Bombyx mori: one gene and its partner. The protein of the gene in region 2 interacts with the protein of the main gene of each other region in a pairwise test. Links are inferred from orthologs where the notes say so. Each region holds a gene or a part of one and is shown on either strand. Other genes may lie near its edges.

Region 1 (5,332 bases), about 2.7 Mb from region 2:
TTACCTAGCATAAAATAAATACACAAATGCGCAAGCACTAGTTTCTGGTATTTAACTAATTATATACGTCAAATATAGAGATGTAGACACATAAACATTATAACGTTTTTTAAGCATCACTAGATAATGTATTCATTTTCATCATCAGGGTAATCGAAAAGGTAAGTACCACATACGTATGTGTACATTAATACAATAAGTTAATAATGGATGAATGTCTGTTGTAAATAATGATAGGTACCTATGTACATCGTACACTGACCTGATAAGAACCTTTGCTGATTGCTTTGTTAAAGTTGTGATAACATAGGGCTAGTTGATACTGTTATGGGCTAGCTTGCGACTTGCAAATAGTAACCACGGAATAAGCTGTTAAGCAATGCTACTGTAGTAGTAACAAGGTACTGTATAGAAACGATCATCTATAAACTGATCGACCAGTAACGTGTTGGTATGGCAAGCAGTGTAAATCGATCTCTGAAACTATCCCCTTTACCTTACTATTGAACTTAAACCTGAGTCTAAGTAAAAGTTCCTTGCTAATTGACCAATAGAGTTACTTTGTCACCACCTACTACGAGACCCATAGATAATATAGGTACTTACCAGATATTTTTGTTTGGTTCCTTCAATAGACAGGCAAGGGAATTTTATCTCATACAGTCACATCTCGCTATTTACAAAAGGGCGAAGCGACAGGCGCCTGCTGTTAAAAAGGGGAATTTTTATTAGATTGGTGAATGAACTCGCGGACCATCTGGTGTTAAGTAATTACTGGAGCCTGCAGACTTTTACAACGTAAATGCCGCAACCCACCTTAAGACATGAGTTCAAAGGGATGTTTTTACGGAACAACGCCTGCTCCACCTTCGCTCAAACCGAGTTGCATTACTTCGTTACAGCAGAAATAGGCAGGGTGGTACTGGTGGCACAGTTGCCAGGTGGTTCTCGGGTTCTTGCAGTCACACTTTTTTACTGGTGGTAGGACCTCTTGTGAGTCCGCACGGGTAGGCACCACCACCCTGCCTATTTTTGCCGTGAAGCAGTAATGCGTTTCGGTTTGAAGGGTGGGGAGCCGTTGTAACTATAATTGAGACCTTAGAACTTATATCTCAAGGTGGGTGGCGCATTTACGTTGTAGATGTCTATGGGCTCCAGTAACCACTTAACACCAGGTGGGCTGTGAGCTCGTCCACTCATCTAAGCAATAAAAAATAAAAAAAATTAATATAAAAACACTTACAATTTCACATATTGTAATCGATTAATATTAACTTTTATAAAGTGCGCGTGTTATGATTATTAAACGCTGGATCATGTACTCTGACACCTCGTTTTCACTTATGCATGCAATAAAAGTATTTAAAACTTATTGAATGCAAAATAAACTCTATCGCAAACTCTATTGGCAACAAAGTTACACTATAATTTAAACAAGAAGCTTTCACTAATGTGGAAGATACAAATTCAAGATTCGTTTTTAAAACAAAAATTTATTGAGTTTTCAATTTACCGTAGAAAATATAAAAAAATCGAAGAAAAACAAATTGACAAGAATCATGTTAACTTTTTTGGCGTAAGCGTGAGGTGATATATTATCTCAATAGTTTGGGTTTATATTTTGAGTAGTTTTTTCATCTCATTTTATCCTTGTCACATTCCATTTCACCCTTTGCGCAAGAGAAATAGCTTTGGCTTGGGTAAGTTAAGATTCGGCTGTATAGGCTGCGTTTTCATTGCTTGTTCAATAGACGTTTCAAACAAATTTGACACAGTGTTTTGTAAAAGTTGGTTTTTATTTTCTATGTTTCCAATTTTCTCTGAATATAAATTAAATTAAATTAAGATAAAACCTGGACTAAGAATTCTCATTATTAGAATCGTGGTGTCATCTAGAGTACCCTAATAGTAAAGTATGTTTTAGATCATTCATTTTTAATGAAAATTCGTATTATGAACAAAATCGCTTTGTCACGACTTCGGCTAACCTTTCAACCGGTGGTTTTTTCACAATTTTCCCAGATGTTTCTCACACGTTCCGAGTATGATCGCGGCGTCAACACATTCAGCCCTGAAGGAAGGCTGTTCCAGGTGGAATACGCCATAGAAGCTATCAAACTTGGCTCCACTGCAATTGGCATTTGTACTTCGGAGGGAGTTGTTTTGGCGGTGGAAAAAAGGATAACTTCAACTTTGATGGAACCCACGACCATCGAAAAGATTGTTGAAGTAGATCGACACATCGCTTGCGCCGTTTCGGGTCTAATGGCCGACTCCAGGTTGGTCTCGTAATACTGAAAATGTATTATGATTATTTATATGAAGGTATATGCTGGTAGGCAGCGGCTTGGCTCTGCCCCTGGCATTGCTGAAGTCCATGGGCGACGGTAACCACTCACCATCCGGTGGGCCGTATGCTCGTCTGCCTACAAGGGCAATAAAAAAAAATTAATGTTAAAAAAATATGCGACACTAATTTTTTTATATAATTCTGCAGGACCTTAGTTGAAAGGGCCCGAGTTGAATGTCAAAACCACTGGTTTGTGTACAATGAGCGTATGAGTGTAGAATCATGTGCTCAGGCCGTTTCCAACTTAGCTATACAGTTTGGAGACAGTGACGATGATAGCGGAACAGCCATGTCACGGCCATTTGGTGTTGCTGTTATGTTTGCAGGTATGTGTAATTTAGAGCTGTTTGTTTTTTAGAATTATATATACATCAGAAGAGTGATTATATTTCTTTCATATATAATTCTTGCTCAAATAACGCCCATAAAAAATTCTAGTGTGTATAGCTAAATAAATAAGAATTTAGGAGTAAATGCTTGTTTATAAATATAAGTAAAAGTATTAATGTAAATGCAAAAAAAAAACACATCCATCGCATTTCATCAGAGTAATAGTTCTATAAATAATTATGATGTATATTTCATATCCAATTACAGGCATTGATGAGAAAGGCCCTCAACTGTTTCATATGGACCCGAGTGGTACATTTGTGCAGTATGATGCCAAGGCCATTGGTTCTGGCAGTGAAGGTGCCCAGCAGAGTTTGAAGGTAAGTACAGTGGATGTTCCATAATATCGTCTTCTCGCATTAAAACTGTATAATCTCAAAACTTACTAATTTTACAGGAGAGTGTTTTAAAGGTTTATCAAGTGATATTTTTAATATTAATCATCTTTGCAACATTTATTTTTTATTTTTTACCAGATACATTAACTGTCTTTTAAAGTAAGATAAAATTATGTATTAATTTTGTTAATAGTAGTCAAAATATAGGTAAACTAAAAAAAAACATAAAACTAAACTATGCTCTTTTGACAGTATTTATGAGAAAAATACTGGAATATTTTTGGAAATTGTACACTTTTAAAGCAAAAAGACAATATGTCAACTAAAAGATTATTATACTAACATTTTTTTGATGATATTAGGTAATCTTGAGACTTTTAGACTAAAGACTTTTCAATTAAGAGCTAATGAGGAATAGGTCTAGTTACTGGTCTTTCAACTATCATTACATGCACTGCTTGCATTTATTAGTGTTTAAAAAAAATTAATAAATGTGAGTAGTATGTAGTGCTCTTGGTTTTATTATTTAAACCTATTTGAAAAACTGGGATAAGACTAATCATAATTTCTCATACCAGGAGATTTATCACAAGTCGATGACCCTCAAAGAGGCCATCAAGTCTGCACTCACCATACTGAAGCAGGTCATGGAGGAAAAGCTCTCGGAGAACAATGTTGAAGTAGTGACAATGACTCCTGGATCATTGTTCCACATGTTCACAAGGGAACAACTTGCTGAGGTTATCAAAGACATACCTTAAAAATGTAGTTTGGTGTGCAGTTTTTGAAGGGAGATTAGACATATGGCACTAAATAACTAATCATATCTTATTATAAATCTCACATTTATTTGGAATTTCCAGAAACACCACCCTTTAAAATAAGATAGTGGAATTGGGATTCTAAAGCTATAAAGTATTTTGGCTCATTAGTAGGTAGGGCATTTATCTCAAATAATAAAGAGATCAACTCTGTTAGAAGGCCAAACCTTGTGATATTTTCTGTATTACTCTTAACTTATCAATAGATATTGATTTACAGATATAGTTTTTTTATAAGGATAATGAATTCATGTTTATCATGTCAAAATAATAATTCAGAACACATGAATAAAACTGTGTTGAGTCAGACAGTGCTACTTTTCATATAAACTTTTAGAACTATAATAATTAATGTCTACACTTCCTTCATTAACTGTTTAGTTATTAATAAAAACTAATTTTTTTGTATATCGAGTTATATTTTGAGAAAATTGTGTAAAGATATTGTATTATTGATTATGATATTTATTATTATCCTTTTTTATATATAATATTAGTATTTTTTGAATTGTAACTGTTGTCATTCTCATACTTTTCATTAAACAGATACAGATTTTGTCAGTTCGTAAAGTAAATAATTTTACAATTTCTATCGTTCACACTCAAATAGTCTCAAAAATTATTATTCTGTATTATAGAATTGAAAATTGAGATAAAGTTATAAACTGTTTTATATGTACTGTTTATTTTCATCAATCTGAGATTGACAGCCTTGTATGTGTTTGATTTATATCATGTAGTTATACTGAGTATTTCATTGGTAATGTTTCGTGAATATTTTACTTTAGTATTGTATTTAGACACAGTTTTTTTAAAATATCACGCAAGGATGAGGGCGTTGAACAGTGAGTATTACTGTTTATTAATAAAAATATGTAACATATTTAAAATTTTTGTAATTATTTCATTACCGTCATCATCTCACCGGAGATCTCATTATTTTTGCGGAGAGCGGTTGTTGACAACGCGTGCGATCGAATATTATAGAATCTGGTATCCGTGATATGGTATTCAGTGACTGACTACTCAACCTTAGTCATATTACCTGTATCAGTTCTGACCTTTCCCATTTGATTTCCTTACTAAACTTAGCTCCTATAGTGGGTTGTACAGTGAATCCGGAGTCCACATTTATTGTGCTCGTTCAGTCTAATTTTGTTTGTTGTTGTTGAGTTCACGGCCCACCTGGTGTTAAGTGGTACTGGAGTCCATAGACAACTACAGTATAAATACCGCTAGCTACCTTGAGACATGAGTTCTAAGGTCTGAGTTTTTACAGTAAAACGAATGCCCGATCCTCCAAACGCAGTACGTTTCACGGCAGAAATAGGCAGGGTGGTGATACCTACCCGCGCAGACACGCAAAACGTCCTGCCACTCGTCTAAGGGATCCGTTACATTGCTTTTTTTCTTACCTATGCTGATAGCCTTGA
Region 2 (4,844 bases):
GTGACGTGTCCTCACACACCATGACGTCATCGGGGATAGTATCGCTGCCACAAGGATGTGTACTTCAGTCTAATGACTTAACGATATATGCGCATAATCGTTATAACAGCCGTGTGAAGTTAGATTATGAAATTGCAAGTACAACGTTGGACAATTCAGTAAACAAAATAGTAAATTTAACATACAACTACACTCCGAATCTGTTCCAATCTACAGCACGTGAAACAAAAATTATCACTAAAGAGATTGCTGAGCAAAAGGAGCAGGAAAAACACTTTCCGTCGACCATCATATCAGCGCATGACATACATCAGTATGTCATTACATACTTATTATTAGTAGCAGCTCTGGTTATTGGTCTCGTGTGGGTTGTGAGGAAACATTCCCACTGCTTAAGGAAAAAGAAGAGCCATCCACTTGCACCCACTGAAGATATCGAACTTCAAACATTTCACCTGCGGCACGACCGACGAGATGATGGTGTTCAATCCCAAGTCGCGCCTCCACCGAAGCCAGCCCGAAGCGTAAACACCAGTGGAACCAACTTTGCCTTTAGTTTTGATTAAGTTAAATTTTAAGTAATTTTGTTGTGAAATGTCATTTTATACATATTTTTACTTTTACCTTTACATTTTTAACTTTTATATTTTTTACATTTTTATTTAAGCTTACGAACTATTTCATTTATTGTTAATCAATTGTTTCTTGCTCTTTTGGGTTGCCAAGATGTACGGTTTGTACATACCTAAATAATACGTGGACACGCCGTGCGTCGTCATTGTGGTGTCAGGTTATTTTATTATATTATTAGAGCAGTGCACTTAGCAACACGCACTCGTTAACACGTTACCATCTGTGCTTAACCGACATAATAAAGGTGCTCAAACAACACACTAACTCTTTGGAACTCAACAAACTTCCCCTTGGACCCCAACACTTGCGCTCTACCGTTCTCCGGGATAGACGTGACATAAACTATATTACAGTAAGAAAGTTGCGATAAAACAATCCCAAAATCAAAACTACGTAAAAAAATAAATCCTACCAAGCTGATGGTCTTGAAAGGCCATTTCAGCGTAGCCCTAACAAGTAGGTGAGCTCACAGAGCTCAAACCTAACGAGCGTAAGTAAAAAACTAAATAAGCTAAATCATAGCGATATTTTAAATAATTCAATTTCCATGTAAGAGCAACGTAACGCAAAGGCAGACCGACCGGGCACCCACGAAAGCGCGTGTGCTGTACATTGCGTGCTAATAAAAACGCTTTAATATAGAATAGCTTTTTGTATTGTTTCGATTTTCCTGTTGGGCATCTCTAGCTGTGCGCGTCTGGACAATGCACCGTCCAGTGCACTAGCAGTACTGCGGTGCCGGTGTAGAGAGCAGGTACCCACACGCACACCACGCCGGCCGCGTGCAGACTCTCCAGCGCGGTCACCAGCTCCGCGGCCCAGCGCCGCACCGCGCCCGGCGGCACCGCGTCCCGGTACCGCATGCGCGGCTCCAACTATATATATATATATTTGTTACCCACATTCATTACAAAACGAAAAAGTTATAACACATAAATGTTGTGTTCCTGTTAGTGTGTAACACTGTCTATCAGTTGTCCAGAAGAGATTACTTCGAACGACAAGACGAAAATTCTAATCTTAATTTAAATTATCAGTTAAATTATCTTGTAAAGGACACAAGAATATTCCAATTATAATGCAAAAAATAATAATCATAAGGCATTTTTGTTAGAAATGAAAATGCATTGAAATTTAGTTATAAACAAATATTGTATTATACAATATAGGATGCGCTCACCCCGGTGCCAGCGGCCGTGGTGTGCTCGTCCGGGGTAGTTGTCTGCGCGCCGCCGCCCAGCGCCCGGTCCACGGTCAGCAGCAGCTCCTTGGAGTTGTGCAGCAGGTCGCGCACGTCGTCCCCCGGCGCGGCGCGGTCGGCGAGCACGCAGCGCAGGTCGGGCGGGCGCGGCTTGGCGGCGGGCGCGGCGGCGTACCGGCGCACGTACTCGCACAGGCGCTCGCCCGGCGCGTACGTCAGCACCAGGAACAGCGAGTCCTCCGTCTCGATGAGCGCGTGCAGCCGCACCATGTAGGGCGCCGGCCCGGGCAGCACGGGGCGCCGCCACTCCCCCTCCGGCTCGTTGCTCGGCACCTTGTCCAGCACCTGCGACTCAACCAGCTGGCTCACCGGGCCTCATACCTGCTATCCGCGTCTAGGGGTGTGCGGGATGTGTGAGACTCAGCGGTCTGCAAATGGTGAGTTAACCCAAGGGCCGACCGCGGGCCCAAGGAAATTTTTGGGGGTCCTACCCACTAAAAAACTCCCTTGCATTTTTTTGGTCAGAACCCGGACAGAGTGTGAAGAGTCGTTTAGTGGATCGCATCTTACAACTCAGCAGTCCCGCACCCGCGCCCGCTGGAGGTTGAACTCGCCGGCTCAAAAAAAAACCTAACGAACTGGAGCCGGCTCTGTACGTGTGAGAACAGGGTTATTTACTTCGCACATCATCTCACTAAGAGCCACACGGTAAATAGTCGCCGGGCCCGGCCGCCCTGACGCATGAGGGGGAAGTCAAATATGTTTTTTTATGAACTATTTTAATGTGAATTCTAGACCAAATAATCTTTTAGTGCGTTTAAAGTAATTCAAAGTGAAACAGAAAAAAAGTCGACTATTGGCACGGCAGTACTCGCACCTTCATGACGTAGCACGTGTCGGTGCTGGCGTGCAGCACCAGCAGCAGCCGCGGCCGCACCACGCCCAGCAGCACGTACGCGCACAGCTCCGCACGCGACCCGCTCCGCGCCGCGCCGTCCCGCGCCGCCCCGCCGCGCTCCGCCACGCCGCGCGCCACTCCACCCGCGACCTGCACAACCGTGAGTTCACCGACTCAGAAATATATAATTAATTAACTATATATTTATGCATATTGTCACAGGAAACGATATTATGAAATTTCGCTAACAATTTATGAATGAAATACGTTTTAGTTTGAATAGATTATCGCTACGAGTATAGTCACAGTGCTCGACGTTAACTTTACTTAGGGATTTAGAATATAAATCATTAGAATTTTACTAAAATGTGAAGAACAATTCTAATGGAACGTAGAGTAGTGTGTCCTCACGTGCTGTGTGCGCGCGCTGCACAGTCGCTCTGCGTGCGCCAGGTAGGCGTGCGTGCGCTGCCGGACCAGCGCCCGCCGCGCGCCGTCCGCGTCCGCTGCAACACGCGCCGCTGTACCGTCCGCCGTGCACCAGCCCACGCCAATAGAATAGTGCGTGCAGGGCTGACACTAGCACAGTTTAACTAAATAGATAAATTCTCCACATTCCAGAGCCCAGCCCACTGAGTTTCTCGCCGGATCTTCTTAGTGGGCCGCGTTTTCGATCGGGTGGTAGATTCTGCGAAGCACTACTTTTGCTAGGGCCAGTGATAGGAACATTCCGGCCCCGTGAGCTCACCTACACACGTTAGGATGAAGCTGAAATAGCTTCTCAAGGCTATCAGCATAGGTAGGAAAAAAAACCAGAGCCCTAATGAATATTGACAGCCCACGCCACAGATAATATAACAAGTACAAACAAAGGATTTTTTGGCGGGAGGAGTGAAGTTGTGTGATTTGTTTTGAATTTTGTTTATTTCGTTTTTAATAACGGTGGTTTATTAAGTGTTTAGTATCTGTGAAAGTGCATAAATGTGGGAAAATGAAACAAAACTGCTGAACGTAATTTTTAAGTCCACTGAGAAAATCTCAGTAAATAACCACCATTTTACTAAAATCATATTTCATCTCATCTCATTTCATTTAATTTCATGACAATTCATGAAGTTTAAACAAACAAGAAGAAATAAACAAGAAGAAGTACTAGTGTGAACGTTCATTAAATTCGGACTGTACTAGTGTGAGCGTTCATTAAAGTCGGACTGTACTAGTGTGAGCGTTCATTAAAGTCGGACTGTACTAGTGTGAGCATTCATTAAAGTCGGACTGTACTAGCGTGGGCGTTCATTAAAGTCGGACTGTACTAGTGTGAGCGTTCATTAAAGTCGGACTGTACTAGCGTGGGCGTTCATTAAAGTCGGACTGTACTAGTGTGAGCGTTCATTAAAGTCGGACTGTACTAGCGTGGGCGTTCATTAAAGTCGGACTGTACTAGTGTGAGCATTCATTAAAGTCGGACTGTACTAGCGTGGGCGTTCATTAAAGTCGGACTGTACTAGCGTGGGCGTTCATTAAAGTCGGACTGTACTAGTGTGAGCGTTCATTAAAGTCGGACTGTACTAGCGTGGGCGTTCATTAAAGTCGGACTGTACTAGTGTGAGCGTTCATTAAAGTCGGACTGTACTAGCGTGGGCGTTCATTAAAGTCGGACTGTACTAGTGTGAGTGTTCGTGAGTGGTGTCGCTGAGGTGCTCACAGCGGGCGCCGACGAGTAGCTTCTCGATGCCGGCCTTGTAGTGGTCCAGGGCGCCCGCGTAGTCCCCCGCGTCCTCGCACCGCGCCGCCAAGTTCAGCATGTAGCCCGCCTCGAATATGTAGCTGTCCTCCGTCCTCGTCCCGCGCCCCGCGTGCGAGGGGGACAGGGCACTGTCTGCTACGTAAACACTATCTAATTAGTGAAGCCGGGACTTTTTGGCGGGAACGCAAGAAGTGAAGTTGTGTGAATTGTTTTATTTTGTTTATTTAGTGTTTCTTCAGGTTTAAATGTGTAATAACGGTGGTTTATTAACTGTTTAGAATCTGTGAAGGTGCACAAATGTGGGAAAATGCCGCTGGACGTAGCTTCTCGGGATCCTCCGAAAAATTAACTGAAAAAGTCTCAGT

The links. The genes of interacting proteins can lie anywhere in the genome.
Region 1: the proteins of ribosomal protein S6 kinase delta-1 (region 2) and proteasome zeta subunit interact in a two-hybrid assay, tested with the Drosophila melanogaster proteins (2 studies listed by BioGRID). The link is inferred for Bombyx mori from reciprocal best matches to the Drosophila melanogaster genes CG7156 and Prosalpha5.

What each region holds. Positions count from the first base shown.
Region 1 is NC_085134.1:3,203,443-3,208,774, reverse strand, and holds the start of proteasome zeta subunit, read left to right. Parts: upstream 1-1,720; 5' UTR 1,721-1,913; intron 1,914-2,022; coding exon 2,023-2,279; intron 2,280-2,497; coding exon 2,498-2,676; intron 2,677-2,947; coding exon 2,948-3,060; intron 3,061-3,656; coding exon 3,657-3,818; coding exon of another isoform or gene 3,819-3,839; exon of another isoform or gene 3,840-4,789; intron 4,790-5,332. UniProt on the Drosophila melanogaster protein: The proteasome is a multicatalytic proteinase complex which is characterized by its ability to cleave peptides with Arg, Phe, Tyr, Leu, and Glu adjacent to the leaving group at neutral or slightly basic pH.
Region 2 is NC_085134.1:499,218-504,061, reverse strand, and holds part of ribosomal protein S6 kinase delta-1, read right to left. Parts: intron 4,615-4,844; coding exon 4,438-4,614; intron 3,239-4,437; coding exon 3,144-3,238; intron 2,883-3,143; coding exon 2,712-2,882; intron 2,180-2,711; coding exon 1,814-2,179; intron 1,509-1,813; coding exon 1,396-1,508; intron 1-1,395.